Neurospora crassa OR74A: one gene and its partners. The protein of the gene in region 3 interacts with the protein of the main gene of each other region in a pairwise test. Links are inferred from orthologs where the notes say so. Each region holds a gene or a part of one and is shown on either strand. Other genes may lie near its edges.

Region 1 (9,069 bases), about 2.6 Mb from region 3:
CAAAGGTGCTGAACGAGTTCTGGACGTGGCTGCTCTGAGCAAAGCGGGTGCGAAGGAAGACGGTGTAGATGACGAGCAGGATCCAGGAGCGGCGCTGGAAGATGATGGCAGAGAGGAGGATACGGATCCAGAGGACGAGCTCAATGTTGGCAACGACCGACATGGACGAATCGTAGTACTGCTTAACGAAACTGCCAATCGCGTCGGACATAGGGTGCTGAGTGTACTGGGGCTTGGCGCTGGGCGAAGCTCCGGCGGCAGGGGCCACCTTAGTAGGGGGCATGATAGTCGGGATCAAGTTCGCACGAGTGTAGGTAGCGACATGGAAGACCGAGTAGATGGCGAAGGGAAGCATGGCGATGGGGTACTGGGGCATGAAGAGCCAGACAAGGGCCAAAACTGAGCTTCGCGGTTAGCATTCGTTGAAAGGGTCACCGCTTGCAAGAGAAGAGCAGACATACGGAGGTACTGAACGTTCTCGTCGGTGAGGTAGCTGACAACGTTGGCCGGCTTAGCACCGGTCTTCTGACGAGCGCGCCATGTCTTGTAAACCACGATACCGTATGTGAGGGCAGCGGAGAGGAAGGTGGTGCGGTAGCAGAACTGCGCCATACGACCATAGTAGTTCATGCGCAGCCACGAGAAGGCGTAGCGGGTGACGCAAAGGAGAAGGGTGGCATGTCTATTATGATCAAGATCGTGTCAGTATACGTTCAAAGCAATCAAAATATATCCTGGCGCGAGAGTCGGCTGTTCCGCAACTCCGCTCCTGTGAGATACCGCCTTGCTGCCCCTCGTGAAATCTGCTTCATCCTGATCGAAAGCGGGCGGCACGGGAGGGAAGCGGGACAGCAAGCCAATCGAGAATCATGACGTACCCAGCGAACCAAGCGACTAGGAAACCAAGACAGTTAGCCATTTGCGCTCATGATAAATCTTCGAATCGCTACAACAGCGATGGAGGCTCAAACGGAGAGAGAGGGTTGGATGCACACGTACACTGCAGGGTCTGTGCCAGCTTTTGAATCCTCTGCGCAAGAGGCAGGTCGGCGGGCGGCGGGGGAGCCATTGTGATAGAAATGCTGTACTGGAAGCGGGTTGCTTAAAGTTTGATGTAGTCGGTGTCCGGCGCGGTAATCTTTATATCGCTCGGTCCGGGTGGTGAAGTTGTTTGGAGAGCTGAAGCTGAAATAACTTGGAGAGCAGCCGGCGGGAGAGAGCGTGGCTGAGGTGGTGAGCGGTGCGTATGGTGGAGATCTCTGGGAAAAAATAGGGCGGTCGTGTGCTTGTGCTCCAGCTCCCGCTTCTTCAATGTCCACGTCGACCCAGGTCGGGGAATTTCTGCCGCAGGTTCGATAGTGTGGCCGGTGCGCCTTGCTAGCTGTTGCCCCTGCAGGATCTAGTATTGCACTAACGTAGCCTGAATATTTTTTGGTGGCACGTTAACCAGAACTCGTCGAGATAGGCGTTCAAGATGATAGCGCAAACAGGAACTTCCAGGTTCTGTAGGGCTGGCTGCGACTGCGGTTTGTAGGACTCCTGTTTACCACTAGCTTCAGAAAGGGAAGTTGAGATGGCGTATCACTGTTGAAGAGCGGTACGATGGCGGAACACCTGAAAAAGACGACGGATAATGAAGACTGAAATGGACAAAGATGAGCAAAACAAAACCCGGAAAGGTCTTTCCACGATTGCTACGCGATTTTATTGTGAAATTTCTACCCAGAGGCTCTTCTACACTAACAATATGGCGTCGGTCTCGGCGGAAGAGCTGGGCTGTGTTCGTTTGTCGTCATCGCGCTTTCACAAGAACCCGCCAGAATCTGGTCGGGATCCGGGCTGGTCCGATTTCACATGCAAGACGTCAACCCCCGATGCCCAAATCTGGGCTGGCCTCTCGTCTTGGAGGTTGTTGCGACGGTCATAGGTTGAGATGAACTATACAGATGCTGTATGTCCTTCATATCAATGAGGATCATATCGGGAGTCTTCGTACTCCTGCTGTCGTGTCAACATATTCTTTGGGATGATAAATTCCGTTCAGTTGGTTGCATCTCGCGATGGGACCGCTGGTAGCTCCCCTCCCCCCAAACTTCAGTGCTGTTGCCGCCTGCGTCATTCTTGGTGAGCCGAACTTGGTTTTAATGAAGGAAGGAAGCTTGGGCCAACTGCCCACACTCACATCCAGCCACGTCATTGCGGTGGCTCAAACCTGCTTGTTGTGGTCTTATTCAACCCTAACCCTTCTCAATCACCTGCTTTCTTTTCAAATGACAGCGACAATACTATGATCGTATATATCGACATTCAAGATATGACAGTAGGAGCTGTGGAAGTTGAGCTCAAGCGGTCTTGATGAGACCTTTTACTGAGAAACTTGCACATGAACTTGTATATCTTACCTCCAGTCTCCTCGAAGGTTACCCAATAGGACCAACTAGGAGCTCCCAACCGCCAACATCACCATTTCAAATCAAGGCAGCGACGATATCATGTATCCGTATACTTAGATGAGTCCGTTCTTCGGCAACGGCCAATTCGGGTCCCTACTCTCGACTATTCTTCCCGGCTGCAGCTGCTGCTGCTTCTGTAGCCATTGTTGTTGGTCCCCCATGCTCTGACCCTGCAATCTCACACTCCCCGTACTCGCCGCTCTCCGCCTCGAAGTCGTCGTCGATGGTCCACGCGCATGCTTGCCGCGTGCAGAAGCAGATGCGTTACTGGCCATTCTCTCATCAGTGCTGTTATTCCTCGCACTTGTCGCCGATGCAGTCCTCGAATGGCCGAGTGGATGTCCACCACCACTCGTACCGCTCATCACCGACGTGTTGGTAGGCACGGTTTCCAGGGGCCGAGCCATTATGTCTCCGTAGACGCTTTTGCTGCACTCAGGAGCGTACCGTATTGAGATATTCCTCCTGATGTCTTGTGTTGTTGGGGGAGTGGGTAGGGGAATGGTTGGCGGCGGGCCAGGCGATGGGAGGAGGATGTCGCTGGAGGTACTATATTTTCTGCCAACCGCCTGTCCAATCTTTCCCTGGGAGTTGTCGGTTGATGGCTCGAACTGGGGTATCCAGGCTGTTGGTGACGGGAGATAGGCTTGCGAGGGCCGTCGGACGGGAGGTGGTTGTGGCCCCTGGGTTGGAGAAGGTGTGTGTGCTTCTTGGATGGTCTCCAAGTGGATAGGTCCTGGTGACCTCGTCGGACTAAATGGGCCCCCATTCTTGGTCGGGCTGGCCTGGTCGTTGACGATATAGCTGACAATGGCACGATCAAGCGCGTCGCTTACGTTCTGGTCTTCTTCTTTTTGTTGTTGCTTCCTCTTCCGGTATCTCACGAAGAGGTAGAAGCCGGCGAGAGAAAGCACAGAGGAGCCAATAATGGCGATGACAACTGCTATAGCAGCACGGTTGACCGACGACGCGGCTCCCTGCACAGCTTTGATGTCGGGGTTGTTGAGAGCCTGCGGATTGTTTGGAGTCTGGCAAAGGTTAACGCGATGGCAACAAGTTTCAATATCACGGAGCACTCACCATTGTCGAATTTGGATCTGCCGTGATGGTCGGCCCTATGAGGTCTGTTGTAACCGAGACAACGGTTGCTGTGACCGTGACCGTCCCTTGGCCCAGCTTTTCACTCATGCTGCTAACGGTGCTCGCGGCCGAACGTTCTGCAGCTATCACAGCATTGGATGCCGATTCCTCGGTCGACGCTATTGCGATTGAGGCCGAAGCTTGAACAGATGCTAAGGCGCTGGAGGCTGACGAGGCGAGATGATCGATCGACTCCTGAAGCCCGATGATGGATGTTGCCAGGAGGCTTGAGAAGTATATCGCGTTCGAGTTGGCTTCTTCGAGGGCACCGCTGAGCGAGCTTATTGTTGCTAGTAGGGAATTATTACACGGGCAGGATCCTACAGCCGTAGGTGCCGTTGTCGGGAAGGGTGAATGGGTTGCCTCTGCTGCCACTGCGACACTGATCGCCGAGGTCACGGTCGTGAAGACGGGCTGTGAGCCAAGATCTTCATGGCCGCTGACCGGACGCCTTGCAACAATGGGTGGATGATGGTGTGGCCATGACGAGAAAGGATTCTGCCCAGTCTCGAAAGACTCTGCACTTGCCACGTAGTCAAGGGTGGTCAATGCTGCCGAGTAGCAGACAATAATTCCTATAATTAGGCCGTATATGAGATGACCCCGATTTCTCATGGTTCATCTTGACTGACTGAGGGAAAAGGACAGAGAACTCATTGTTCTGTTGTTCTGCAGTTGGAACAGAGCAACTAGAGATGAACACTGGGAGGAAGTGCGGTGGGATGGCCATACGGGGCAAGAACCGAACGCCAGAAGATAATCCCGAGTCAGACAATGGTGACTTGCACACCAAAAGAACGGGACGGGATGTCATAGTCCTGTAGGCGCAAACGTTGAGGGTCAAGCAGCTAGAAGAGCACGGATCCCGATGACTGAGGGCCATCCGGGTTTCTGATTCGGCAAGAGGTTTTGATCTAGAAACAAGGTGGAAACGACTAGACCAGGTCAGCCTTGAAGATGCGATACAAGGATCTCTTGACCACTGTCACTCGGCAGCTGAGGGGCCCGTTGCGGACTTGCCTCCCCTCCTCAAGGATACACAGAAGTGAGTTCTGAATCCCCCAGTTAAAGCTGACTGGGTACCTATATTCCAGGTTCTTCACGAACAAGATCGCATCATCAGCTTACACGGAAGTAGGAGTAGGAAACGAAAAGATCCTCCATGGGCGCCACCTTAACCTGATCTCTTGAAGGATGAACCTGTATCAGTAAACCAAAATGACTCGAGAATTGTATGGCATGACTTGACTCGAAACAGCCGACTTCGATGATGGTGGCAATATCCCATACGATCTTCAACGCTTAAGCCTACGTTTTTCAGGATGATGGACCGCAGATTGAGGACTGTCGCTGTTCCGGTGGGAATACAGCATCTAATCCAAACCCAACAAGTGCAGGTATACCTCACAGGTCGGTTGAGGTGCAAATAAGGTTGAGTGTTCCAAGATTGCCGCCAAGGATTCTCCATTGCGAAAGCGCCCGTGACATCTGTCTGGAACTTTCCTAGCAGCTGCGGGCAGCTGCCCTGCCTGCCAAAAGCGCAAGAGGGTCCAGACCGTTCCATACGGTACAGCTCACTGTAGAATGTCCGCGGTCTGGAACGTCGCCCGCTGAAGAAATGGGACCTGACAGTGGAAGGATTGACACTTGTCACCACTGCAGCTTGATAGGCACTGATAGCGGCGGCTCAAGAAACCATTCGAAGAGACGGAACTTGGAAGAAGAAAGATACCTATCGACATATCAAGAGGAACTATTCTTCATTCTTTGCCCCCCGCGTCCTCTTTGCTCCTCCAATCCCCCCCAAGTGCTCCCCTCCCTCCTAGATCAACGTCCCAAAAGACCGCCGCCAGAAAATGACCACTATCGGATCCCTCCAGCGGCTGTCCGCCACGTCCCTGTCCAAGCTGATCCTGGCCGAACAGGCCTCGACGGCAGCAGCGGCGGCCGGCACGGAGAACAGCCGCTCCACTTTGGCCATCATTGACGTGCGGGATGACGGTGCGTACTTAGCTAGTTCCCGCTCCTGGTCTTTGTCCTCCGCAAGGAACCTCCTTCACCTTCCTTGTCTCCGCAGCATCATCATCTACACCTGTCCTACTCCATACCAGATACACAACTTACTCGCACAATCCAAAAAGAAAAAAGAGACACAGAGTCAATCATTATGCGTCATCCCCCGGTATTAACAACCCCTTCACAGACTACATAGGCGGCCACATCAAGGGTTCCCAAAACGTTCCCTCGCACAAGCTCGACGCCATGCTTCCTACCCTCGTCCGCCAGCTCCAAGACAAGGAGACGGTCGTCTTCCACTGCGCGCTCTCGCAGCAGCGCGGACCCAGCGCTGCTTTGCGCTACATTCGCGAGCGGGATCGTCTGATGCCGAAGGAGGTGGAGACTAAGCTTGCTGCTTCAGTCGAAGAGGCTGTTGGGGCTGATGGTGAGGGAGAGGTGAAGAAGAAGCAGGGGGAGGAGGAGGGGGAGGAGAAAAAGAAGCCCGTCGACCAAAAGGTGTTTGTGCTGGATCGTGGGTTTGTGGGGTGGCAGGAGGCTTTTGGGTTGGATGAGAGGTTGACGGAGGGGTATAGCAAGGAGTTGTGGAGGGATGGGTACTGGATGTGAGCGTGATCCATGAGATGGCTGGCTCGCCCTTTAAGAATTGAGCGAGCAAGCTTGGGAGTTGGGAGTACGAGAGGACGGGATAGAAGGTTCACTGGTTAGCGAAGCGGGAGTTGATTGGGTTCATAGACTTGTTGTTAACATGAGTGAACTTTACTGAACATTCCTCTACCTGATGAAAAAAAATCACAGATGGGGTCTTTGCTGACAGGCAACAATGGATTTTTGACTCTGCGCGGACAACAACACTAGTAAGTAGCACATAGACTGTGATACATGTGTAAGGAAAGACCTTTGTCATTGACCCCAACGTTTATTTTGGCTAAATTTCCAAATGTGACTCTTCTGAAATAGTCAATATAACCCCCTCACTAATCCCAATATGCCCACTACATCTTTCCAAGAAACTCCACAGCCCCTCTCCAGCCCTCTAACCAGTCAGTCTAGCTCAGTACATAGGTACCCCAACTCAACAAAGCCTTTATCCCAGTATGTTGTGGGGAACCAAACGAACGGTTCATGTTTATGTTACCCCCGAAGCAGCGAAGCAACACTCCAAAAATGCACGAGACTTTTGTGTTACCAGTAGGTATCCATGAGTGCAACGAAAAAGGTACCACGCATTAGGGCCAGCCATCCATTTTGGGGAAAGGAACAGTGAAAAAAGATTCAGCTGAAGTCTTGGGTAGCATTATAGATGCAGTAGGTACGTTGCGGTAGTAGTTGGTAGTCCAAGATTTGTTGTCCCGCTTTTCTTTTTTTTTTTTCTTTTTTGCGGGCTTTATGGGTTCAAACTAATACACAAATGTATGATGTGGGATGTGGGACGTCGCGTAGGTGACTTTGTACGAGTAGTAAATGCCAGACAATCATGCAACGGAGGGAGGGATCTTTGGTTGACGCTACTCGCTGTGCATGTATCAATTAGGTCTCTTGGCCCTTGGCGAACGACCATACTAGGATGCAAAGTCCATAAGGTTGAACTTGGTATCTAACTATTGATGGACGAATGCCGAATCGGGTATATATATATAGACTTCTTCGAAGGAAGTTCTGGAAGGTTATGGTTTCTTGGTAGCTTAACCAGACCAGCCTCCACTCACGGATATGCGAGCTACCATAACAGTGAGCTCAAGAGCATCAATGAAACGCCACAGCCTCGGCCACATCACTTGCTTTTCTCGTTATCGAATTCCTTTATGGCGAGCTTCAGTCTGAAATCACGTAGATAGTGACTTTGACAATAGTTAGTGTCAAGGCAAAAAGAACAGCTGTAGAAAGAAAGTGCTTGCGCCACGTACTTTTGATGATCCTAACTCCAATGTAACTTTGACAACTTTGAAATGCTCAGTAACGTGTCCACGATTAATGGAAGCATGAAAGCCTTGGCACGAAGAGTCTTCGGGACCCTTCACACATAATATATGCATGAAGGACACATCCTTTCTCAATACGATCAAACCAATGTTCACAGTAGGATGAAGAAACTTCGAATACACCACGAAACCGGTCACTGGAATGACGAAAGACATCAACGGTTGGTTGGAAAGTGGCAGATAGGCCACCATTGGACAATAATGCGAGAGTGGTAATGGAAATTTGGAAATGTGACAATCCAAGATAGTTACCGAGTTTGCACTATCATACAAGTACGCAAAGGCAAGAGGGAACTATGTATTTTTTTTTTTTTTTTTTCAGTAGCAGGAGTAGCAAATAGAGAGTGAAAAGGTGATGTTGAAAGGGAGTATGCTGAAAAGGATGCTTGAGTCCTGTCTTTGTTGCTTGCTGCATGATAACCTGAAGATGGGAAAAGCGAAGATGTAACTCTCAAAGCATCGGTGTTGCCGAAGGGTACTGTGGATAGTTTAACTTTTCAGTCATTGGTCATGCACTTCAGTTGCGTGCTAGATCGGGTGCTTGCTGAAAGGCATTCAAATGTACTCAGGCGTCATCACTAGACGGTAGGCTTCCTAGGTTGTTCACGTACTAGTCTACTCCATCCACATGGATACGAGTGACGGCAGCTAATGAGACGGATGCCATCTTGCGTGGATAGCGCCGGCACACATGCCGATTGTTCTGGAGTACATGCCTTGCTCTATACTGTTCAGATCTGGTCGGAATGCCCTCAGTCAAGATCTTGGCAGGGAGCTGTGCAATCTCTCTAGTCTCAGTTTCCTGGTTCATCCAAAAAAAGGGCCGAGGCTGTCATCAACTCGTTGATGTGGAAGATATCTGTGCATAAATGCATCTTGGCTGGCTGCCAGCAAGCCACTCATTGGACAGCCGAAGCGAAAACGGTCGTGCCAGCGAACCGTCACCTCGGAACGCGAGAAAAGAGCGACTCTCAGCTCAGGATTTTCCCCCGTGGGTTAACATTGGGATGTAGGTACCTGCACTGACAGGGTAAGCTTATATACCATAATGGTACATGTAGTGCTACCCTTGCCGTATCGTGGCCAGTCTTGATACTGACAAAGGTACCTTGGTCTCAGTGAACTGGTCCCAACCGTCTCAATAGATGCCGCAAAGACTTGGCGGGCTGATGGAACAACAAAAGGGCCAGTTAAGAGAAATCATGAAGTGTGCCTGACTCGCTTGGAAGCAAGCGAAGCGCTGGGTGGAGCAAAGCTCAAGATACTAAAGCTCTTTTGGTTTAGAACTGAGGATGGAAAAGGACTCGTGAGTGCGTACCATCGAGATCGAGACGCCAGCTCCGGCAGGGCCCGGTTCGACCAGGACGAATTGGTAGAGCAAGGCTATGTCAAAGACGACAGAAAAATGAAATGGATTCCTTCGTTTCCTTCCTTAGTGTGCGGGGTATTCGGGATAATGGTGGAGTGTTTTGGTTGAA
Region 2 (10,051 bases), on a different chromosome or scaffold from region 3:
CTTGGACTGGAGATGATGGATGTACCTAAGGAGTTCCGTCTCGGAGTGATGCGTGTTGAAAACGGGGTGAGTTAGGTAAGACGAAGTTCGACGCAGGGGTTCTGGAAGATGACCCAGCGGTCCGGACTGCTTGATCTGCTCGGCATGGTGCTTCAAGAAGTGTTCAAAGATCACTTGCGGGTTAGCATCAAGGGCCTCATCCCTGCCTGTGACCTTGAGGCTCCTCGCAGCATCTTGGAATGCGCCAATAAGGCTAATAAGATCGTTTTCGGTGGTGGTCTCGTCAACACTGATGCCGGCCGAATCGGTGGAGATGAAGCGGATATTGATACCTCTCTCTCTGGCGGCATATACCAAGACCTTGCCGATATGGTCTTGGTTGATGACGAGGGTATCGAACGGCACCGCCGAACAAGAGTTATTTGGCGAGTAGAGCTGCAGCCCGCAGAACTTGGCTGCAGACTCCAGGACCCTGGCCCCCAAGTTGCACCGTTCCGCGATTGCCCGAAGGCCCTCGGGACCGTGGTAAACGGCATAGAATGAGCTGATGTTGGCCAAAAGGGCTTGAGCAGTGCAAACATTGCTGGTGGCCTTCTCTCTGCGGATGTGTTGTTCTCTGGTTTGCAAGGACAATCTCAATGCGCGACCGCCGAGACGATCCTTGGAGACACCAATCAGACGACCTGGCATCTTTCTCTTATGCTTCTCCTGCACCGCGAAGAAGGCCGCATGCGGGCCACCAAAGCCCAGAGGTACACCAAACCGCTGAGAGTTGCCAAATGCGATGTCGGCACCCCACTCGCCTGGAGGAGTCAACATGGTGAGAGCCAGAAGATCGGTTGCAACACTGAGAAGAGCGCCTTGCTTGTGAACAAGGTCGGCGAGCTGTCGGTGATCCAACACTTGGCCAGTTGTATCTGGATATTGAACCATGACACCAACCAAGTCGTCGCCCAATTCTTCGAGCTTGGAAGGGAATTCGGGGTCGTGGAAATCCAGAGTGATGATGTTGACACCGAAACCCTCGGCGCGGCCCCTGAGAACGGCTCTGGTCTGAGGATGAAGTCTGTTGGAGAGGACATAGGTTTTGGCGGGCCTCTTTGCTCTGGATGCAGGGAGAGCATTCAGCGACATGGTCATGGCCTCGGCAGCAGCGGTTCCCTCATCCAGCAAGCTCGCATTCGCAATTGGAAGGCCGGTCAGGTCGGTGACCATGGTCTGGAAGTTGAGAAGGGATTCCAGTCTGCCTTGGCTGATCTCAGGCTGGTAGGGTGTGTAACTGGTATACCAAGCAGGACTCTCGAGCACGTTTCGCTTGATGACCTCAGGGGTGAGAGTGCCATAGTAGCCCGCACCAATCTGAGCCTTCACGCTATGCCTGTTGCTTGAGGCCATAGACTCGGCGATCTTCATAATTTCCCACTCTTGATGGCCCTGGCGGGTAGGGTACTTTTTAGTCGCGTGAAACCTGACGCGGGTTTGCGGGAAAAGCTCGCGCTTCGACAAAATATCTGCGGGAATGACCTCCTGGACGAACTGGTCCAATGACTCAACCGGCGGATCCAAAACCCCAAGCATTTCCTGAATGCTGGAGTTGTCGGGACCGATATGGCGACTCGCAAAGTCCTCACGGACAGGAAACAGCTCGGGATACTGGACCCAAGCAGTACTGGGGATGATCTTCATCAATTTTCCTCTTTGCGAAGATTCACTTGACGCCAATCGCAGGCAGGAGGCAGCCACCAGCGGTTGTGGGCACGAGATAGTAGTGGACGCCCTCAGTGGTAGGCGAGCGGGCATGGCACCTCGGAAAGCCATCGTCGAGGGCCCGACAATGTGACCCAGCCGGCCAACACGTCCCGGAGCAGTCATGATGGTGAGCTAACGGGACTGACCGACGAAAACGGGAATCGAATCGGCGGGGAGGATGAGGCAGGCCCGGACTGCCCGGCGGAATTGGTGGATTGGTAGGTTGGAGGAAGGTAGGTACCGCCGTATACGGGACAGGAGGAAAGATGGGACGAACTTAAGTACGACAATGAAGGAAAAAGAAGAGACGAGACGAAAGGGCGAAGGAGAAGGAGAAGGAGAAAAGTATAACGGAGGAGTCCAGGGAGGCGGGGCAAATCTGGACGGACCGTCTCCCGAGTATCGATAGGGTTTCCCGATATCTCTCCAACCGCAACTGACACACACACACACTCGCTCTCTCGTCTATCGAACCATAGCCGGTCAACAAACAAAACAACAGAACGGAACAGTCACACCACTGTCCACCTGAAGAGATCAAGCCCCAACCCCAAAAGAAAAAAAGCCGGGCGCATCCCCGTCCCGTAGAGGCAGATCCAATGACTACTAGCAACAACACTAGTAGTATGACGAGGTGAGTCGAGACTGTTGGCCCCATAGACCCCAATGGCCGGTTTATTACCACTAACAAAGCCGCAAAGCGCAGATTAGAAAAAAAAAAAAGATTTGGACCAGTCAGGACCGACACCCGTGATAGTGACTAACGTGATTGAGGAACTTTCGGCCGATCGAGTTTGGGTGACACATTGGAATACGGTTGGAGACAGGGACTTCATCCCAAAGTACCTTCTACTTCTGAAGGGGGCCGTCAAGGCCAATATCAACGACACACGCTGCAGTGGCTGGCACATGGGGGAAAAAAACAGAGACGAAAGAGTACGGTGAGTGGTCGAATTGATAACGCATCTGGCTAAAATGGGACGTTGAACTTGCCAGCATCGCCCAATCCCGTTCGTCATTCCTGTCGTCTGATTTAGGTTGAAAGTACTCGGCCAAGGAGGTTCTGTCGCTCCAGTCACTAGCTAAGAAAATCCCCGGGCCAGATCTTGTCTTTCTTGTGGGGTACGGGGTAAGAGGTACAGGGTACATGCCGGGTGAGGATTGCCACTACCTAGCAGCGAAGATAGTCGGGTATTCTCGGGCCGACCGACGCCAGGGGTTACATGTTGAGGCTGCGCGGGACCTTCAGAGCTTTCTAGTGTACAAGCGCTGGGCACTGCATCGACTGCCCTTGCCGTTCCCGATAAGCGCGTTGACTTTTGATAACAGCTGATAAGACAACGAACCTGGGCACGTACCTGCCTGCCTAAGCGAGCGAAATGAGGGGCGATTGGGAAAGAACCGACATCCCTAGCGGCTGGACACTGCAGCGCGGAAAGCCGTTCTGAGGCATGGCGTCACTGCACTGGCCCGGCCGGCACCCCAAACATGCAGGGGATCCAAAATTTCAAGACGACCTATACATTCACATCTTCCATTGCCCCATTGCATCCCGTCGTCCCGCCAGCAGCCCATATCGCGACCAGTCTACCAAAAGTAACATCAACGCGACTTCCATATCAAAATGTTCGGAGGATGTAAGTGCCGTCTTGATTGATTCAACTGGGCTTTGACAGTCTTTTGCAGTCATTGAAAGGCAATCACACAAACAAATACATCAACCACCACGACGTCGTCTCCATTCCACTGGTAGTACTGACATTTATTTACTACTTCACAGTCCAGCCCCCTGCCCTCTCCCGCGAGGAGCTCCAGGCCGCCGAGGCCGAGGCCACCTTCACCATTCAACGTGCCGTCTTTACTGCCGTTGCTCTTTACCTCTGTTCGTCCATCTATCTACCGGCCTGTCCTCCCCAGCTTCTCTCGCTGCCCTACGTCAGTCTGGTTCTGAGCGCTAACAAGAGGAAAAACCTATATACAGCTCCCTTCGTTATCGACGCCGTTAGCAAGGTTCTCTAAATATTCGTACTTAGACACCAATCAATCCCACGAGTTGTATCAATGAGCGACGACAGCCTTATGGAAACAAATACGTTGCATTAAACGGCCCGCCTGCGGTGCCTGAGCTCCGATGTTCCCACGCCGATAAGAAAACGATAAGGAATAATGATACCCATCTGGCGCGGACATTTTTCCTCTGGTTGTACGATATGTGTCAAAACTCTCGGAATGAAGCAATTTCTCTTTTGGACTGGGATACTTCTAGGGACGCTGTGCGGACCTCCGTTGATGGCGGTAAACCGTACTCTCGCCGAATGGAGGTAGTGTGTTTTGCCGATAATCTAGGCTTGAGAGCGTGCCACATTCTTTTGACAGCCGTCGAAGAGCTTGTACGTGTTTGTCCGACACCTTTAGCTGTGCACTTCAAAATGATAATTCGACGACCTTGTACGGTACGCACAGAGACCATCCACTTGAGACCCCAACCCATCACGCCAAGTGTATATCAAACACTGGGCATAGTTAGCTTCAAACTGTCTATGACAACCGCTTGCACGATACCCAAGCAAACAGCACAGTTTGAATATAGGAGGTTCGGTGCTATGGCCAAGAAAACTCCCTGCGAGCATGATGTATTTCCTCCAGTGCCAGCCGCCAATTCCCACATAAACCACTGAACGCCAATACATGCTTTCTACAGTCGTTCCTGTTCCGCTCCAGCCCAGCTTTTCCACATTAAAATCCCGTATCCGTGATCTTGCTTTTCTCGGTAAGCTCCCAAGCAGCCCCAGCAGACTCTCTGATCAGTTTTACGCCTCACACCATTGTCCAGCCACGAACACTCACGCCTTTACATGGGCGCCGGAGTGGGCTGATGCTCCTTCTCCCAGTCTTCATATTCCTTCCTGGCTTCCTCGACCTGCTGTTTGAGGTGCTGCAGTTGCTTCTCGTAGTCCTCGAGAATCTGCATTTCCAAGTTAGCATCAGGTCGACAATGTGAGAACCCGCCAAGGGAAAGAAACATACCTTCTTCGCTTTCGCCTCAACCTCCTCATCAAGTCCGTCGCTCTCTGCAAAACCCGGCTTGTTGATCTCATCTCTCAGATTATCCGCATATCCTCTCAAGATAATCAGCCTACTCCAGAGCTCCTCCATGCGCGCGCTCAGCGCCGGGTCCTGGATGTGCTTGTCGATCTTGGCCAGCTTCTGCTTGAGCTCATCCTCGTCGCTGCTCAGCGCGTACCCCCTATTACGCAGCACCTGCACCCGCGACGCCAGCGCCAGGCACCGCTTGCTCAGCTCCGCGTGCCTCCTCTTCGCCTTGAGCGCGCGCACCGAGTGCTCGAGGTCGTGGCGTGACAGGATCTCGTCCAGACTGGCGTTGATGGCATGCAGCTTGTTATTGAACTCAGTGATCACGCGCCGCTGGAGAAGCAGGCGCGCAACGATAGCGGGGAAGCCGGCGCACAGCACGGGGATGTAGTTCGGCCCTGGCTTCTTCGCGAGAGCCTCTTCCCATTCCTTGGGGTCGTCGTTCGGTCCAGGCTGGTAGAGGGGAGCGGCGTGCTCATCGACCTTGTTGTAGAGGTACGTCTTAAAAGCGCAGTTGGGGTTGGTTGGGTCCCATTTCTGAGTGATGACTTGAATCTGCTCCGGGATCGGCTTTTGGTCTGCACGCAGTCGGAGGTTAGCAAACATTGTAAGGTTGTTATCCATCTTGTGCTCGTGGTTTGGGCAAGATGACAGGTGAAGAATTCGACAACGGTAGGACATCAAGGAATGGTGTAGCAGATAGCTACAGGCGCAACGTACAGGTCGTCTGGCTTCCGGGCTGCCATAGAGAGCTGCCCAACTGCGGGTTCTGGCTTGCCTGCGACTGGCCGAGGATGGAGGCAGTTGACTGTTGTTGTTGTTGCGGCTGCTGCTGTTGCTGCTGTATTAGGCCGACACGTCAGCGTTCAGCCCCATTCAAATTGTCACTGTTCCAAACAAAACCCGACGGAAAATAGCAGAGGGATGGTTTACCGTTTGCCCAAACAACGAAGTGCCTGTCTGAGGAGCACCGAAAAGTGATTGGCCTGTCTGCTGGGCTGTACCGAATAAACTCATGGTTGCCGGTAGTGTCGTATACTGGCGGAAATGGTAGTCTGAAGAGCGCAAGAGAGCAAGATGGCGCGTGCTGATGGAAACAACTGAAGCCCGCGAAAGAAAACAAAAGCAACAGTGGGGATTCGCGGCAGAGGTTGGATAAATTGATCGACAAAACGCGCTCCAAGTCAAATCGTATTGACGAGCAATAGGCCCGCGTTGATTGTAATAATCGAAATCGTCGTGATATCGGATACTGAGTCGGGAGACACGATTGTCGCGGTTCGCAAAGCCGTCGTTGCTGGGCAATTCCTGTAGAAATTTACGGGGTTGTACGTAGACAGAGACGGCGCCCACTTCTGAATGGCTCTCACTGCGCAGGCGTTGAGGAGGTCAAAGCTCCTCTGGTCACTTCACTAGCGCGTTGGGTTTGCTGCGGCTCACCGAGAGTAGACCGAGGTGGAGGTCACTGGAAGGTGAGGCAGGGGGCAGCAACGCCAAGAACCTGACCTTGGCCTTCACCAGCCAATCATGAGCAGGCAGCCGCGATCCACTCACAGCCAGGCCATTCGAGGATAGCCGGCAAGAGGTACGACACCATCATCAAGCTACCCGTCCAAAACCTGCCCTCGAAGCCTCGATTTGTTGCCTTTGCGATCAACGACAAGCTCGCCTGAACCGACAGGATGGCTTCTCGGATTCCCCAGTATGTGACCCCCCGGCTTGCGCCCAGCTGCAGGAGAGCAATTGGCGACTTGCGACAGCGACACCATCATCACTACATATAGTCTGCCGATAAAGAGGGGCTGACCATCATCACAAATCACAGGTTCAACCAGCAGGTCCTTTACGACACCACCCCCTTGCCGGACTCGATCCCCAAGGTCAAGGAACTCGGTGCCAGTTCTGCCCCGCTTATGTCCGCCGCCTACTTCATCGGAGCCCGGTGCCGCGATTACAACGATGATTTCATGCAGTGTAAGAACGAGAACCCTGGAAAGGGCGAGTTTGAGTGTTTGAAGGAGGGCCGAAGGGTTACCCGATGCGCCCGGAGCGTGTAAGTGAATCTACCTGTTTGCAGATTTGGTACTGGAATATAAGACAGAGGGCGGGAGAGAAAGAAGAGAGTCATGTCGTGGATAATCAGTATGGGGAACACTGTGGAGACACTTTGGCTAACATGGATACGGGGGGTCAAACCTCCATCGCAGTATCGCCGACATCAACAAGTCATGTCTGGAAGAGTTCCGCAAGCACTGGACATGCCTTGAGGACAACAACCAGCAGCTCTGGCAATGCCGACCTGCCGAATGGAAGCTGAACAAGTGTGTTTTTGAGAACTTGGTAAGTGATGGCCAGTATCCATTCGTCACCAGCACAATCCACATGGGATTAGTGCATGACTCGAGCAGAGCCATGTTGGCGTGCGCCCTTTCCATAAGCTCTACCTGTTACTTTCTCGATATCATCATGACTCACCACATGTTCGTCCCATTACTGCTGTGCGATAACTTACCAAGTCTCTTCCCACCACAAAGGGTCTCAAGAAGGAAATCCCCGATCAGCCCCCCAACGTCACACCCGTCCACCTCAGGAAGCAGATGATCTATGCGCATTGGCCCATCCCCCGTTCCGCCGAGCCTTTCGTTCCCCCAACACAGACTGGTGACAACAACAAGGCGCCAGCTGCCGCTTCGTCATCGTCGTAAGGGCAATTCGAGCAGGAGTGAAGGGGAAGAAGGGGAAGGGAAGCCTGGCAGAACAACAGGACTAGCAGGAAGAACAGAACTGCAAGGAGAATATGCCAAGGGCGAAGATAATTCCCAGAAAGACGGTATGGTAATGATTATAACTTCTACGTACCCTCTAGGACCATATGGTAAAGATGAATAGACAATGCAAACCAAGCGGTTGAGGATAGAACTGGGCGTTGTCTGTGTAGGCTGGCATGTAATGTGTCAGGGCGGGGGGCGCTTCGAGTTGAACGGCAGCACACTGTACATACGTTTATCCACCTTCGTCATCGGCCATAAAGACAACACTCACGGTATATATGTCATCCGGTAGTATGATTTGGTATTAACTTAGGATCCACATTATACGTCTCGCGCTTCCAATGTTAGAACCACGGCCAGGTCACTCTCCCCCAGGCTGACACAAACGACAGGATTGACAACGAACTGACAGCTTGGTCGTACACATGACCTCTACACTACGTTTTGACAGACTTCGATTCCACAAGAGAAGGGGATCGTTCTGCAAGTACTAGCAGTACGAGAACAACCGCGCAACTATTCCACAAGACACGGTAAGCCCTTGCTCACATACTTCGGTCTTTTCCAGATTCCCTCAGGCAGCGCGACGGTCTCACCTTATCGTGCATGTGCCTGTTCCTGTGCCTGTGCCATCTTTAACCGGGCTTGCCCGACTTTGACTTTTGTTGCTGCCTTCTTCGTCTGACACAACGCCTGGGACGGGTTACTTACCGCCATCACTACCTACCTCTAGGGTTCACCCAACACATCCCTCGAATGCTCGAGTGAGCCCTCAAACCTTCTCTTCCTCGATTATTCTACTTGATGAGTCGTTCGTTGTATGGTGGTGCCAAAAGCCTACACCTCTGGGTTTCCAAGTTTCAATCCTCTCGGTCTCACCTAGGTTTGAGTCTGACTGAGGAAAAAGGCAATATCATGACATCAACCTTGCTCACTCTTATCCGACAAGTGAGAAAACACCCTCTCAGTAATAACATCTTGGGGGGGGGGGGGGGGGGGGGGGGGGTAATGAAATCACAAATTGTTTGGGCCGCACAGGAAGACAGCGACCGAGCGCCGATGGTAAGGTAGGATAAGGCATGACAGTGCCGTGGCTCAGATTGATGACTATGATGGGGCAGAGATAGACATTCGCATTGGGTACCACGTGATCTGTAAAAAAACAGACGAATTACAAAAAGAGAATAATGAAAACAAAAATTAACAGGGAAAAAAAACATGGGGAAAGGAGCCTCTGAAACTGTGTTGCAGCTGCGACATGAGCGATACATTTATGTAAGTGGTTGTAAGACATATCCATCTGCGACTGAGCAGTGAGTGCTTGCATGTTTCAATACGCGGCTGTATCCGGAGATAAGGCGTTGGATTTTATCTCTCTGGATCCTCAGCTTCTCGGCATTTGGCTTTGGGGTTTGGGGGCTTGTGATGCGTCCCATTCGTCATCATCCAAGCCTGTCAGTGATCATAGTGGTGAGAAATCGGAGATGTGGTGGGGGTTATGTGGTAGAATAGAAATGGTGAGGAGGACAGGTTTATGCGAAGGGGAACGCTGGAAAGACCAAAAAGAACACAGAAAGTTGGGTATTAATGAGTAGGTGGCTTTTTAGTTGATGAAAGGGGTAGGACTCTCGTCCTGTATACTTGTCTCCATTGCTATATTATCATGGATGTGGAGAGAGTAGAATGCGGTGGTATTGCAACAGACAAACGCAGGTATGCAAATGAAGAAAGTGAGAATATTTTCAGGTCTTCTTGAGGATACAAGCACCAGAGCCTCCTGATTCAGCCTCACACATATCTCCTAGCTCCTCTGCAATGGCTTTCTTCTCCAGCAAGTACTTGGTCCGGTCTCGCTGCGAGAGACTGAGAAACTGTTGCAACCAGAACCAGGCAAACCTCCGTTTATGTTGATTCGAACCAACCCGGAGCTGAGGTACCAGCACCAATGTCCGTGTCAGCGTCAGTTCAAGTGTCTTACTCTCTAGGTAGTCCTTGTGGTCTCGGGGAGGAGGGTAGGACACTGGCACTCGGTGACACCACGACATGACCCCATAGCGATATTAACCCTCAGTCCCAATACAATAGTTATTGAAGTTTATTGAAAACCCACCACGACTACGTCATGGTAGTGGTTTTCTTTGACGTTGCAGTCCTCATCACTTTCCTAAGTATAGTCCTTTCATCGTCGGTGACTACGTAGATTTGACTTAATTGATGCCGTTTCTGGGGCTTCTATCTAATGTTGTGTATCAAGATCCAGCAAATGAGCGATGTCCTAGTCTTCTTGAAGGGCGTTGGTGTAGTCTGCTTTCCTGTTGCCTGTCACTCGTCAGTCATTCAGGTTTGTGCGCCTTGTAAGCTTGGGGAGAAAAGAGTTCCGCGGTGGAATACAAGGAACCCCTTCCACGCCCCCTTTTCTACCCCTTTTCAATTTCTAC
Region 3 (10,370 bases):
TGCTGGCGCTGCTCCTCCGATTTGAAGCTGCCGCCCCCGAGGGCCCCCCAGGGCGCGAGCCCCATGCCTTCGTCCCGGCACATGGGAATGATGTCCCGCTCAAAGTCGCGCGAGGCGGCGGACCACCGGCCTTGGTAAATGCAGAACTGCCGAAGTGCGTGATCGCGCGCGTATTGGTTGGCCTTGCTGACTACCCAAGCCGGGGTGTCGCTAACACCCAAGTAGAGAACCTTGCCGCTGGTGACGAGCTGGTTCAGGGACTGCATCAGCTCGGGGATGGAGGTGGCAAAGTCCCACCAGTGAACGTAGAGCTGTACAATGGTCATATTAGCATGTTTATGTGTGATGTGTGAGGGCAGAGAACGTACGAGATCGATATAATCCGTCTGGAGCTTCTTCAAACTGGCCTCAACTGAGACACGCATACTCTTGGTGCCGTTGCCTCCGAAATTGGCCATGATCTCTGTTTCACCATGGCCAGCTCTGAAGTTGGTGGTATATTTGGTTGCGATGACTGGGATGACGATTAATGTCTGCTTCACGCGGAATCTAGGGGTCTGACGTGTGCTTAAAAGGCTTCAAAGAGGTTCGCAAAGTAGTAGCTTACCAAGTTGATCTCGGATTCCCCGTTTCTTCATCCACTCCCCAATCCATTTCTCAGATTCCTCCTTCTGGTAGTTGTTGGCAGTATCAATGAAGTTACCTACACATCACCCAACATCACCGAGTCAGCTTTAGCGGAATAATCCATAGGAGTTTCCCATCATACCTCCGTTCTCATAGTAAAAGTCCAAAATGCTCTCCGTAGTCTCTTGATTGCACTCTCCCATATAATCTTGCCTATGAAGTAAGGTTCCGCAGGTCAGTAATCAAACAATATCACGAACGGTTAGCAGCACAAGTCCGATGTGTACAACCTACCACGAATCGCCAAAGTTCATCGACCCCAGACAAAGCGGACTGACACGGACGGATGCAGTAGGGGACAGCAAACGATAGCGGCCGAGGGGCCCCTTGGGGGGAGGCGCCATAGGGAGGGCCATTTTGAGTCAAAGTTAGGAGATTATATCGAAAGGTGGGATGGGATGAAAAGGAAGACTAGGATGAATGACGAGAGATGATCAATACACACGGGAAGTTCATAAGAGAAGGGACAGGGAACGGAAGGAAGCTTAAATTATATGCCAGTACGACGGCCGAGGTTAGATCGGCTGGAGACTACGTACAGCCCAGATCCATGATTCGCAAAAAGAAACAAGGATATCACTTTGCTAAACAACGGGAGGCACACAGGAGGGTCGTTCCCTCTTTCCTTCTGTATAAGTTAACAAGCGGAGATAAGGCAGAGATCACGGAGGCGGGCCTGACGAGTACCCCTAGAGCAACCTCAAAGTGTACAGGTGGGATCGGCTTGGGGGCAATGGCAAGCTGAAGCGGGGGTCTCTAGTTTACGCTCTTCCACAGTGGGATGCCAGGCACGCAAGAAAACTGGGGATATTCGGGCACCCGAGCAGACGGAGGTGATGGTTTCGATCCCAGATCTCAGAGTCCGTGTACGGCAAGTGGGGTTCAATCTAAGGTGGACCATGGACGATCGTGGGGAGCGGACGGGTTTGCAAACTCCCCGAACGACCAGAGGATAACTTTCGCAATCTCGATCTTGTGCCATCACTTTCTACAGAGATCATTGATTTATAAGTCCGGCTGGAGATAAGCTTGTCTCCGTGGAGGGAGTTCAACGACCGGAAGCAAGGGCGAGGCCAGGGTAGACCAGAAGCACCTTTACCCCTCTTCGGACACTGCTCCGATGATTTCATGACTTCCGCATTCGAGATGATCCCCACTTGCGTCCAGGCGCGTTCACCTATTCTTTCAATGGGGTCAATGCTTTAGGTTGGCTCTGTTGGCGATACATCACTCAACTGTCGCCAGGGGCTCAGTTTTGCACAGATGAGAGATACATGTAACTGCTGTATAGTTCCATTGCGAACCTACACTCGTACAGACCCAAGGTATCCAGCCAACCCTAACAATGACTTCATTTTGTCGCTAGACGAGTCCTCTTCATAAACTCATGAACACCAATATACGTGGCCGCCCCTTTTTCTCCAATCCAGTGTAAGTCGTGTCGTATGATGTCGTATTTGTACAAGCAATGCAACCCCCCCCCCCCGGCGGACCATGTCGCCTTTAGCATGTCCAGACGCCGACGACACCGTCTTGACGGCCTTCGACCATGTAGCCGTCCCTGATGCGCACGCGTTCGACGATTGCAGGGGACTTGGCCTTCTCAGCCTCAGTGATGCCGGCGCCACAGTCCCAATGCCGTCCCTCAACCTTATCGTACACCTTAACCACATCCTCACCAGCAGCACAAACAATCCGGCGGGTGTCAAACATCATGCTGGTGATAGGGTGATCATATGCGTAAGCGTCGAAGATTGATCCAGTGCGAAGATCCCAAATCTGTGATAAGGAGCAGTGTCAGTGCCACTCGGTTTCGTAGTGTTATGGCAGAATGAGGAAGTTGCTTACACGAATGCTTCTGTCCAAGCTGCCAGTGACGAGATGAACATCATCAAACTGGAGGCAAGTAACCGGGCCGGTATGTCCAACCAGGCTACGGTGCACCTGTCCACTTCTAAGATCCCAGAGTCTAACCATACCGTCAGCAGTACCGCAAGCCAGAGCAGACTCGAAGACCTGCAGGGCACCAACGAAGTCTGCGGATCCGTCGGCAGAGCGGCTGGTCTGTCTCCAGGGACCGTCACTGCTGCCCATTGCGGTGGCTTGGGCGGCGGCCCACATCACGTCCAATGTCTGCACGCAACGACCCTTTGTAAGATCCCACTGACGAAGCGTCTTATCGGCGGAGCCAGAAACGAGCACATCTCCCCTGAAATGCAAGGCCGTAATCTCGTCGAGATGGGCCTCGAGAGTGAAAAGAGGGCAATCAGCCATGCTTCCGGCAGGCGGATCGACTGCGTGATCGTTCGGGTTGACAAACGCAAGGTCCTCGTCCTCCTCATCAACCTCCTGGCTACCCTGAGGGTCGTAGTGGGCCTTGCTCAGGTCCCACAGCTTGATTGTCGCATCCATAGAGCCAGTAGCCAAGAAGTTATCTTCAATTTGAAGAGTGCGTACAGATGCCGTGTGACCTTCAAGAGTACCGATGCAGCGCCCGGCGTTCAAGTCCCACACACGAACCGAGTCATCCATTGCAGCCGAAACCATGAGACCAAAGGGAGCATCGAAGTCGAGAGCCGTGATGTTATCCTGGTGCGCGCGCATCGAGCGAATCATCGTGCCTGGCTCGAAATGTTCGTGGAGAATCGGGAGTGTCTTCTTGCGATGGTTGCGAGGCTTCTTTTTTCCAGGAGGAGTGTTGGCTGCTGGTAATTTCTCGTAGATGGATTGCGACATGAATCCTTCTTCAGTTCTTGATAGATCCTCCTCAGACTTGTTCGGTGTCGCCATCGCCAACGATTCCGCCTCATCAGCAAGTTCTTGAGCTTCGTCTAGCCTGCTCTCAACATCCATGACTGCCAGTTGCGGTTAGTAGGAGGTCCCAAGATTAAGCGCATAAACACTTACTGTCATGCTCTAATACTGCCTCCTCTTTTTCAAGATTAGCGAGCCTGTCGAGGATGATCTTGCGCATGCCGTGCAGATTGGCGATTTTGTTATCAATCTCACGGATCTCGCTGCTAGCCATATTTTTCCGAACACCAAGCATTTCAAGTTGGTGCATCATTGACGCCTTATCTTTTTTTAACCTCTGTACCGCGTGCGGGCTTCCTGGTTGCACAGGGCTCTCATCGAGCATCTTCCTCCCCCGAGACACCCGTCGCTTGTGCTTCTTTCCATCATCGGTAAAGTCGGGAAAACTGGCCTGAAAGCCCTGGAATAACGAGTATGAGTTGGAGCTGGCAGGGATGTTTCTGAGAAGCTCATCGGGCACGTAGGCCAGTGCTCGAGATTGAATTTCCTTTGACGACAGCTTGGAGCGCACTAAATCGGTGGGCGTCGTACGCGCTATAGCGAAGACGCCCCGTTGAAGCGTGGGCTTCTGGAGCTGCTTGTGTATCTCGGTCATGGCGGTCTGGTAGTGAGGATGAGAGGTCGGGTCGGTGATGGGGCCGATCAAGTGACTTGCTGTTGTCGTCACTTTGCGACCGAAGGCCTCGAGACCCCGAGTCTGTTGCAGTTCACCCATCTTGCATTAGTTTGTGGTTCTTGGGCTGCGCCAAGCGCAATGCGGAAAGGACTCAGGAGAGGCAGAAGGGTGTCATCATGGTGGTGAACAGAGTGCGGGAGACGAAGGTGAGGAGAGCTCACAGAGATTACGGAGGTATCGTCATCAATCGACACATCGTCCGGGAACACATCACGGTTCTGATCGGAGTTGGCCATCCGTTGGCACCGGGAGGCTGCTACCCAATCGAAAAAGGTTCAAAGAAATGCCCAAGAGGTTGTTGCCGCCCGACGAACTACTAAAGCGCAAAGAGGTCGAATAGAAGCAGGACACTTGGACGACGACGCGAGAAAAATCCTGCGGGCGCTACTATCGCTGCCAAATCGCACGGCCGGGAATCGAGCGCAGCTGCGGCTAGTGGTAGCGATGCCGAAGCGATGTTGTCAATGTCAGAGTCCGCGGCAGCAACATGTAACCACGGCAGGCTGAATCAATTGCAGCAGCTGCGGATGGCCCGATGTTGTAGAGGTTGATCAGGTAAGGTACCTCGCTCCAAGTTCGCGCGCGTGGATGCGGCACAAATTTGATGTGTGAACCTGGTGAAGCACCGTGGCAGGAATCACTTTAGCTAGTCTGTTAACAGCTACCACCACACGTCTCTGGGACACATAGTTTGAAAGGTACCCTCTAAACACACTGGGCCCTCGGTGGTCGGTCTCTGCGGCTGGCAGCAGGCTGGTCGCAGCATGTTGGCGGGGAGGTGGATTTCCCGGCCAGCCGATAGCGCGCCCCCTCAATTCCCATTTCTTCCCCTCACCCCCCTGGCCCTGGTTCCCCGCACGCAAGCGACGCGCCAATTCAGGCTCGGCCTCCGTTCAGAAGGGGGTGTAACGAGAGCAGGGATCCGGTGTCTGCCAAGAAAGCCGCTGGAGGGCCAGTGGGGTACCGGATCCGCAGTATTGGTGCGTCATATGTACCAATGTACAAATGAACAACCTAAATTTTAACAGGGCCGTTGCAACGTGGGAATCTGATTGTTGTCCGATATCGAAGTTGCGATTGTTTGGTCCCAACTCTGCCGGTTGAGGGTCCTCAGGAGGGACTCAACGCTCACTGTACACAACAACTGCCTCTTGTCTTCTTTGTCAATTGATATCTTACTTGCACATATAACCCAAATCTCTATTCCAAGCCGTTATTGCACCTACCGCGACACCTCGGCTTTCAAGATGGACGCTATCATCGAACTGTCTGACGTCGACAAGGCGCTTGATCTTTCGCGCATTCGCTACCAGCTAATGTGAGTCAAGAGAGAGCTCAAGCACTGAACGATCACCTCGACAATCCTGGAACCTATGCCAACTGATACGTGTGTCGAACAGCCGTCTAGAGGACACCATCATATTCCATTTGATCGAGCGTGTTCAATTCCCCCTCAATAAGAACATTTACATCCCTGGCGCCGTCCCGCTCCCCGACACCGACCTCAGCTTGATGGACTGGTACTTGTGGCAGCAGGAGCGTCTCCAGTCCCTCATGCGTCGCTACGAGTCACCCGACGAATACCCTTTCTTCCCCGACGCCGTGCAGAAGCCCATCCTCGAGTCGATCGACTACCCCCAGATCCTCCACCCCAACAACGTCAATGTGAACGATCAGATCAAAGAGTTCTATACGCAAAAGTTCCTTCCCAGCGTGTGCCCCGACTTTGGCCGTGAGGATCGTGGTGTCAACAAGGAGAACTACGGTTCCTCTGCTACCTGCGATATCGCCTGCCTGCAGGCCATCTCCCGGCGCATTCACTTTGGCAAATTTGTCGCCGAATCCAAGTTCCAGTCTGAGACGGAAAAGTTCACAAAGTACATCCAGGCCGGTGATCGCGAAGCCATTGGAGAGGCTATCACCAACCAGGCTGTTGAGAAGAAGGTGCTGGAGAGATTGAAGCTTAAGGCGGAAACCTACGGTACCGACCCGTCAATAGGCGCCTCCGAGGCGGAGAGCCAGCGCAAGATTAACGTCGAGGCCGTCGTCGCTATGTACGAGGAGTTCGTGATTCCTCTTACCAAGGTGGTGGAGGTTGAGTATCTCATGCAGAGACTGGAGCCGGCGCCCGCCCAATAGCCATGATGCAAGTAACCGGCACCTAATTAAAACAACAACAAAATCCACAGCACTGCAGGCAGGAACTGACGATGCGTTGAAATTTCCCGTTCACGTTCCCCCATTTCTCGGTGCTTCATAATTCTCGCAATCCATTATGGTAAATTAGTTGGCCGCGCCAATGCAATCCCCGATAGCTTTGACAGCCTGCTTGAACCTGCCCGCCTCAATAAGCATCATGAAACCCTGTGACTTGACGCCCAGCTCTTGGAACGCACGCTTGCTGTCGGCTGAGTCTCCCTCCTTGGTAAAAGTGTAGGTGCCCGCACCGACAGCATGCTTGCGCATCTCTTCGTCCTCAGGGTGGAAGTACTGCAGGCCCTTCTCATCGCGTAGCCGCTTGCGCTTCTGCTCCTCCTGGTCCAAGCTCGACTCGACCTCGACGTACGCGCGCGACACCACCAGGTAGTGCGTAAACTCGTATGGCTCTTTGTCGTCCACGGCGTCCTGGATCTCCTCGATCATCATGTTCCACATGGGCGGGATGACTTCGGCCGGCATGTTGATGAGGCGCTCCGACAGGACGATGCCCACTTGGGCCTTGCCGGAGGTGAACAACTCAGGCAGCACAGACAGGCTGGAATCACCGGCCTTGACGGCCTTGTCGGACAGGTACTCAATCAGCTGCGCGACCGGTTTCTTCTCGCGGTGCTCCCACGCGTTGAGCACGGTCAGGAAGGCGTAGGCGTCGTTGGCCTTGTCGTCCACCTTACACGTCGAGCCGATGGTGTTCTGCTCGATGATCATGTCGCTGAGCCCGGACAGGTCGAAGAGCTGGGCGTCAGCGTCGAAGAGCTGACGAAGAAGCGTTTTGACGCCGTGGAAGTCGATGTCCTTGTCGTAATTGAACAGCTCGAAGTCGACGTTGATGATATCCATGTCCTTGTTTCCAACCAATGTTAGTATTACGACTCCCGGCCAAGAGAGGTTCGACCAAGATGCAAGTGGTCGGTTTAACAACCGAGCCTGGTGCACCAAGGGAAAGTAACTCACCTCATCCGAGTCTGAGCTGTCACTATCCTCATCCATCTTATCGACTGTGGGGTCGTTCTGGACGACCTCCTTCTGGGCTTCCTCTCTCGATCTTTTCTTGCCCATCTTGAATGTGGTACTTGAACGACTCAATAAAAATGGTCCTTATTCGACTTGTCAGTCGCATATTCCACACATGATTGTGTTCACAGGGCTCCTTACTTGGTGATATGTGGTTGACTTTGAGGTCATTCAGGCCGTCAAGCTCAAAATTTTGTAATGCAGTTGTTTAAGATTGAAATTGATAAGAACCTTATCGCCTACCTGCATATACCCTAACCCTTCCAGCTTTAGATACAACAAAATGGTTGCTAGGACAACCACAATTGCCCAAACTCCAAAAAGGGGGGGATTTCCAACCACGTTCACCCAGTTAATGATCTGCCATTGTGGAAAACTGCCACCGCGAACGATAAATGGAAGATACTTCATCTTTACGGACAGTGCTTGTCTATGGATGCCAGAAGACTGCAGGCCAGTCCTATCCAAAATGTTGACTTGGCTGCACCATTGCTGCCCTCAAACTAAAGTATAAGCTAAATCGTTGATCTTCTTACACATCCTTGATGTTATCTACTGAAAGTAACTACGTACCCCTTGACTTGTGCTGCATTCAGCTGGCGCAACATATTCCTCAACATTCTGACACCAGTTGATCACCAGCAGCGCTCCTGAGTAGCTGTCAAACAGACCATCCTCCCGCTACTCTCACACCCCAAACGTCTCATCTTGGTATGGGTCGACATGACATTGTCGGCGGCCACAGAGCCCTTTTCATGCTTACATAACCAATTCTCGGCAGGGCATTACTTCCCAAATAGTGACGTGTATCACAAACTACACCTGCTCAGCGCCCCAGCCCGCATCCACCTCGCGCATGTTTGGAGGGGGCTCAATAGAGGGCACAAATTCGAGAGCGACATAGGCGACTCCGACAAGGAAGATGATCGAGCCGATAATGATTGTAGCCCAGTGTCCATGGGGAATGATGCAGCCGACGAAGATGTAAACTGTACAAAGAGTAGACCGACGATTAGTCACAATAACTCAGCAATAGCAGCAGAGGGGGGGTGGGGCAACAATAACGTACAAACACCACGACCAAGAAACGAGAACATGAACGACGCATAGCGGTAGACTTGGTGAGGGATCTGGAACTCCAGGAGACCGGTGGCTGTGAAGAACAGCGTCAGCGTTTCGGAAACCATTTGAATGTTTCTGTCGACGTATGCGACCACCTACCAACACCAAACAGGATCGTGTAGCACCCGAGGATAATTGGTTGACTGTCGACAGTAACTTGGTCAGTTTTACATCTCCATACGATTTCTATCAGCCTGCGCAACAGTCCGGACAAAGCATGTAACACCCTTGTGAGCATAGGCGGGCGCGCACTGGCAGCCGGGACATCCAGGCTTCAGGACCATGATCGATTTCGGCGACCGCCCAAGATTGCTGCGTCCACAATATCCGCTCGTGGAGGGAAGCGCATAACTTTGTACAGTCGGTCGGCTTGCTAACGGGCGTACAATGAGGAAACGTACATTCCGAGAGGGAAGAACTGGGAGACACCACCCAGGATCATAAGCACTGCAACCGCGAGGTTGACAAAGCGACTAGAGAGGAGGACATCATGTTAGCAAGTAGTTCTGAACCTCGAACGGATGCTTGGATGCACGCAGTATTGGGGGCCAGCGGTCTTGCTTGTTCTCCGCTCTCATCCCCTTCTTTCTTTTCTTTCTCCATAGTCGCACGAGCGGGCGGATGTGAACGTACAAAGAGTCGGAGAGATCCATTATGGCGTTGTTTTAGTAGTGGCTGTGGTGGTGGAGGAGGTGCGAATACGTCGCAAAGGTTGGTAGAATGTCGCAGGAACAGGTGCGATCTGCTGGGTTCGACGCAATCTAGAGAGCGATTCAAAATGAGTCTCGGAAATTTGCGCGAGCGTAGAGATAGATGTGGCCACTTGGTGGTGGTTCTTGACGGAGCAACGAAAGATGTTGTGAGGATGGTGTATTCTACAGTGTTGCCTGGAACAATCGAAGCTCGAGGTCAGGAAGCTGGTAGCCTCACCTGCACCAAACAGGAGGGTCGGGTGGTCCCTGCCGGGGTACATTGTCCACTAAACCGGCCCCAAACGCGCGCAACGTGGGAGCTCCGCCCTACGACGCTGATGCAAGCGTGCGCGGCCTCTTGTCACTGGCTCCTACGGCATGTCAGGGCAGGGGCTTTCCGTCTGGAACTTTGAAACTTCCATTGCCGCATCACACTTCGCCATTGCAGCGAGGGTGTTGCAATTAGGGTTTACAGCCATGAGACGGCTATTACTATGCAAAACCAAATCCACTGGACGGCATCGATGAATAGACGCATAACCACTATGCGGATACTATGACTAAAGGTCTCTGGCTCCAACTGTCATTGGGATTTCCTCAAAAAGACTATGCCTTCCGTTGCTATCTATCTATGCACAAGTCAAATTCCATGGGTATGCTCTCCCGAATAACTCCAGTTGTTTCCCCCGAATTCACAGCATGCCGCTTTTTCAGCCTCCGCATGTCAATCATAACCCAACTCGGCAAGCTCCCGTTCCTTTGCGGCCAGCAACTCTCTCATCATTTCGGCCTCGCGCTCCAACGCTGCTCTTCGCTCTGCCTTCATCCGCTCGCTATCATTGTGGGTATCTCTCGAGGCGCTCCGCAAAATCGGAGCTGATGTTGGTGTCCCAATAACCGTACTGTTTGAAAATGACCCTGGACTGTGTGCTGGAGTCAGACTGCTCATGGCTGGGGACCGGGAGGCTGGTTGCATCCGTAACTGGTCTGCCGGCGAAACCTCTCGGTGTATCTCAGAACTCGGCATCGGGTTGAGAATGGATTTGATGGAAGACAGGCGCTTATGACTTTCGTTGTCATTATGAGACGAAGGTTCGTTCTCTACAGCAGATATCGACCGCTTTCTCGATGGGGACAGAAATGATGCT

What was found.
Region 1: the proteins of NCU07724 (region 3) and NCU06966 interact in a two-hybrid assay, tested with the Schizosaccharomyces pombe proteins (2 studies listed by BioGRID). The link is inferred for Neurospora crassa OR74A from reciprocal best matches to the Schizosaccharomyces pombe genes mdv1 and ibp1.
Region 2: the proteins of NCU07724 (region 3) and NCU02473 interact in a two-hybrid assay, tested with the Schizosaccharomyces pombe proteins (2 studies listed by BioGRID). The link is inferred for Neurospora crassa OR74A from reciprocal best matches to the Schizosaccharomyces pombe genes mdv1 and nup44.

The regions. Positions count from the first base shown.
Region 1 is NC_026504.1:4,687,886-4,696,954, reverse strand, and holds NCU06966 (hypothetical protein), read left to right. Parts: upstream 1-5,183; 5' UTR 5,184-5,449; coding exon 5,450-5,594; intron 5,595-5,796; coding exon 5,797-6,218; 3' UTR 6,219-6,455; downstream 6,456-9,069. Other genes in the region: NCU06968 (hypothetical protein), read right to left, coding at 1-399, 462-682, 879-894, 1,000-1,069; NCU06967 (hypothetical protein), read right to left, coding at 2,507-3,481, 3,534-4,208. UniProt on the Schizosaccharomyces pombe protein: May play a role in DNA replication checkpoint via regulation of hsk1 or may act downstream of hsk1 in an S phase regulatory pathway.
Region 2 is NC_026501.1:2,426,761-2,436,811, reverse strand, and holds NCU02473 (nucleoporin Nup44), read right to left. Parts: upstream 6,211-10,051; 5' UTR 5,860-6,210; coding exon 5,776-5,859; intron 5,684-5,775; coding exon 5,563-5,683; intron 5,421-5,562; coding exon 4,777-5,420; intron 4,715-4,776; coding exon 4,601-4,714; 3' UTR 4,067-4,600; downstream 1-4,066. Other genes in the region: NCU02475 (glycine dehydrogenase), read right to left, coding at 1-1,872; tom5 (outer mitochondrial membrane translocase 5), read left to right, coding at 3,374-3,386, 3,530-3,631, 3,731-3,768; nuo20.8 (NADH:ubiquinone oxidoreductase 20.8kD subunit), read left to right, coding at 6,525-6,544, 6,668-6,895, 7,050-7,182, 7,377-7,547; NCU16357 (hypothetical protein), read right to left, coding at 9,889-9,932. UniProt on the Schizosaccharomyces pombe protein: Functions as a component of the nuclear pore complex (NPC).
Region 3 is NC_026504.1:2,075,100-2,085,469, reverse strand, and holds NCU07724 (mitochondrial division protein 1), read right to left. Parts: upstream 4,782-10,370; 5' UTR 4,414-4,781; coding exon 4,339-4,413; intron 4,199-4,338; coding exon 3,595-4,198; intron 3,543-3,594; coding exon 2,536-3,542; intron 2,467-2,535; coding exon 2,191-2,466; 3' UTR 1,879-2,190; downstream 1-1,878. Other genes in the region: NCU07723 (norsolorinic acid reductase), read right to left, coding at 1-311, 369-514, 608-703, 770-840, 922-1,043; NCU07725 (chorismate mutase), read left to right, coding at 5,425-5,495, 5,578-6,316; NCU07726 (bcp-1), read right to left, coding at 6,461-7,237, 7,349-7,453; NCU07727 (COPI-coated vesicle protein), read right to left, coding at 8,225-8,397, 8,478-8,561, 8,630-8,673, 8,932-9,003, 9,164-9,183; sre (siderophore regulation protein), read right to left, coding at 9,947-10,370.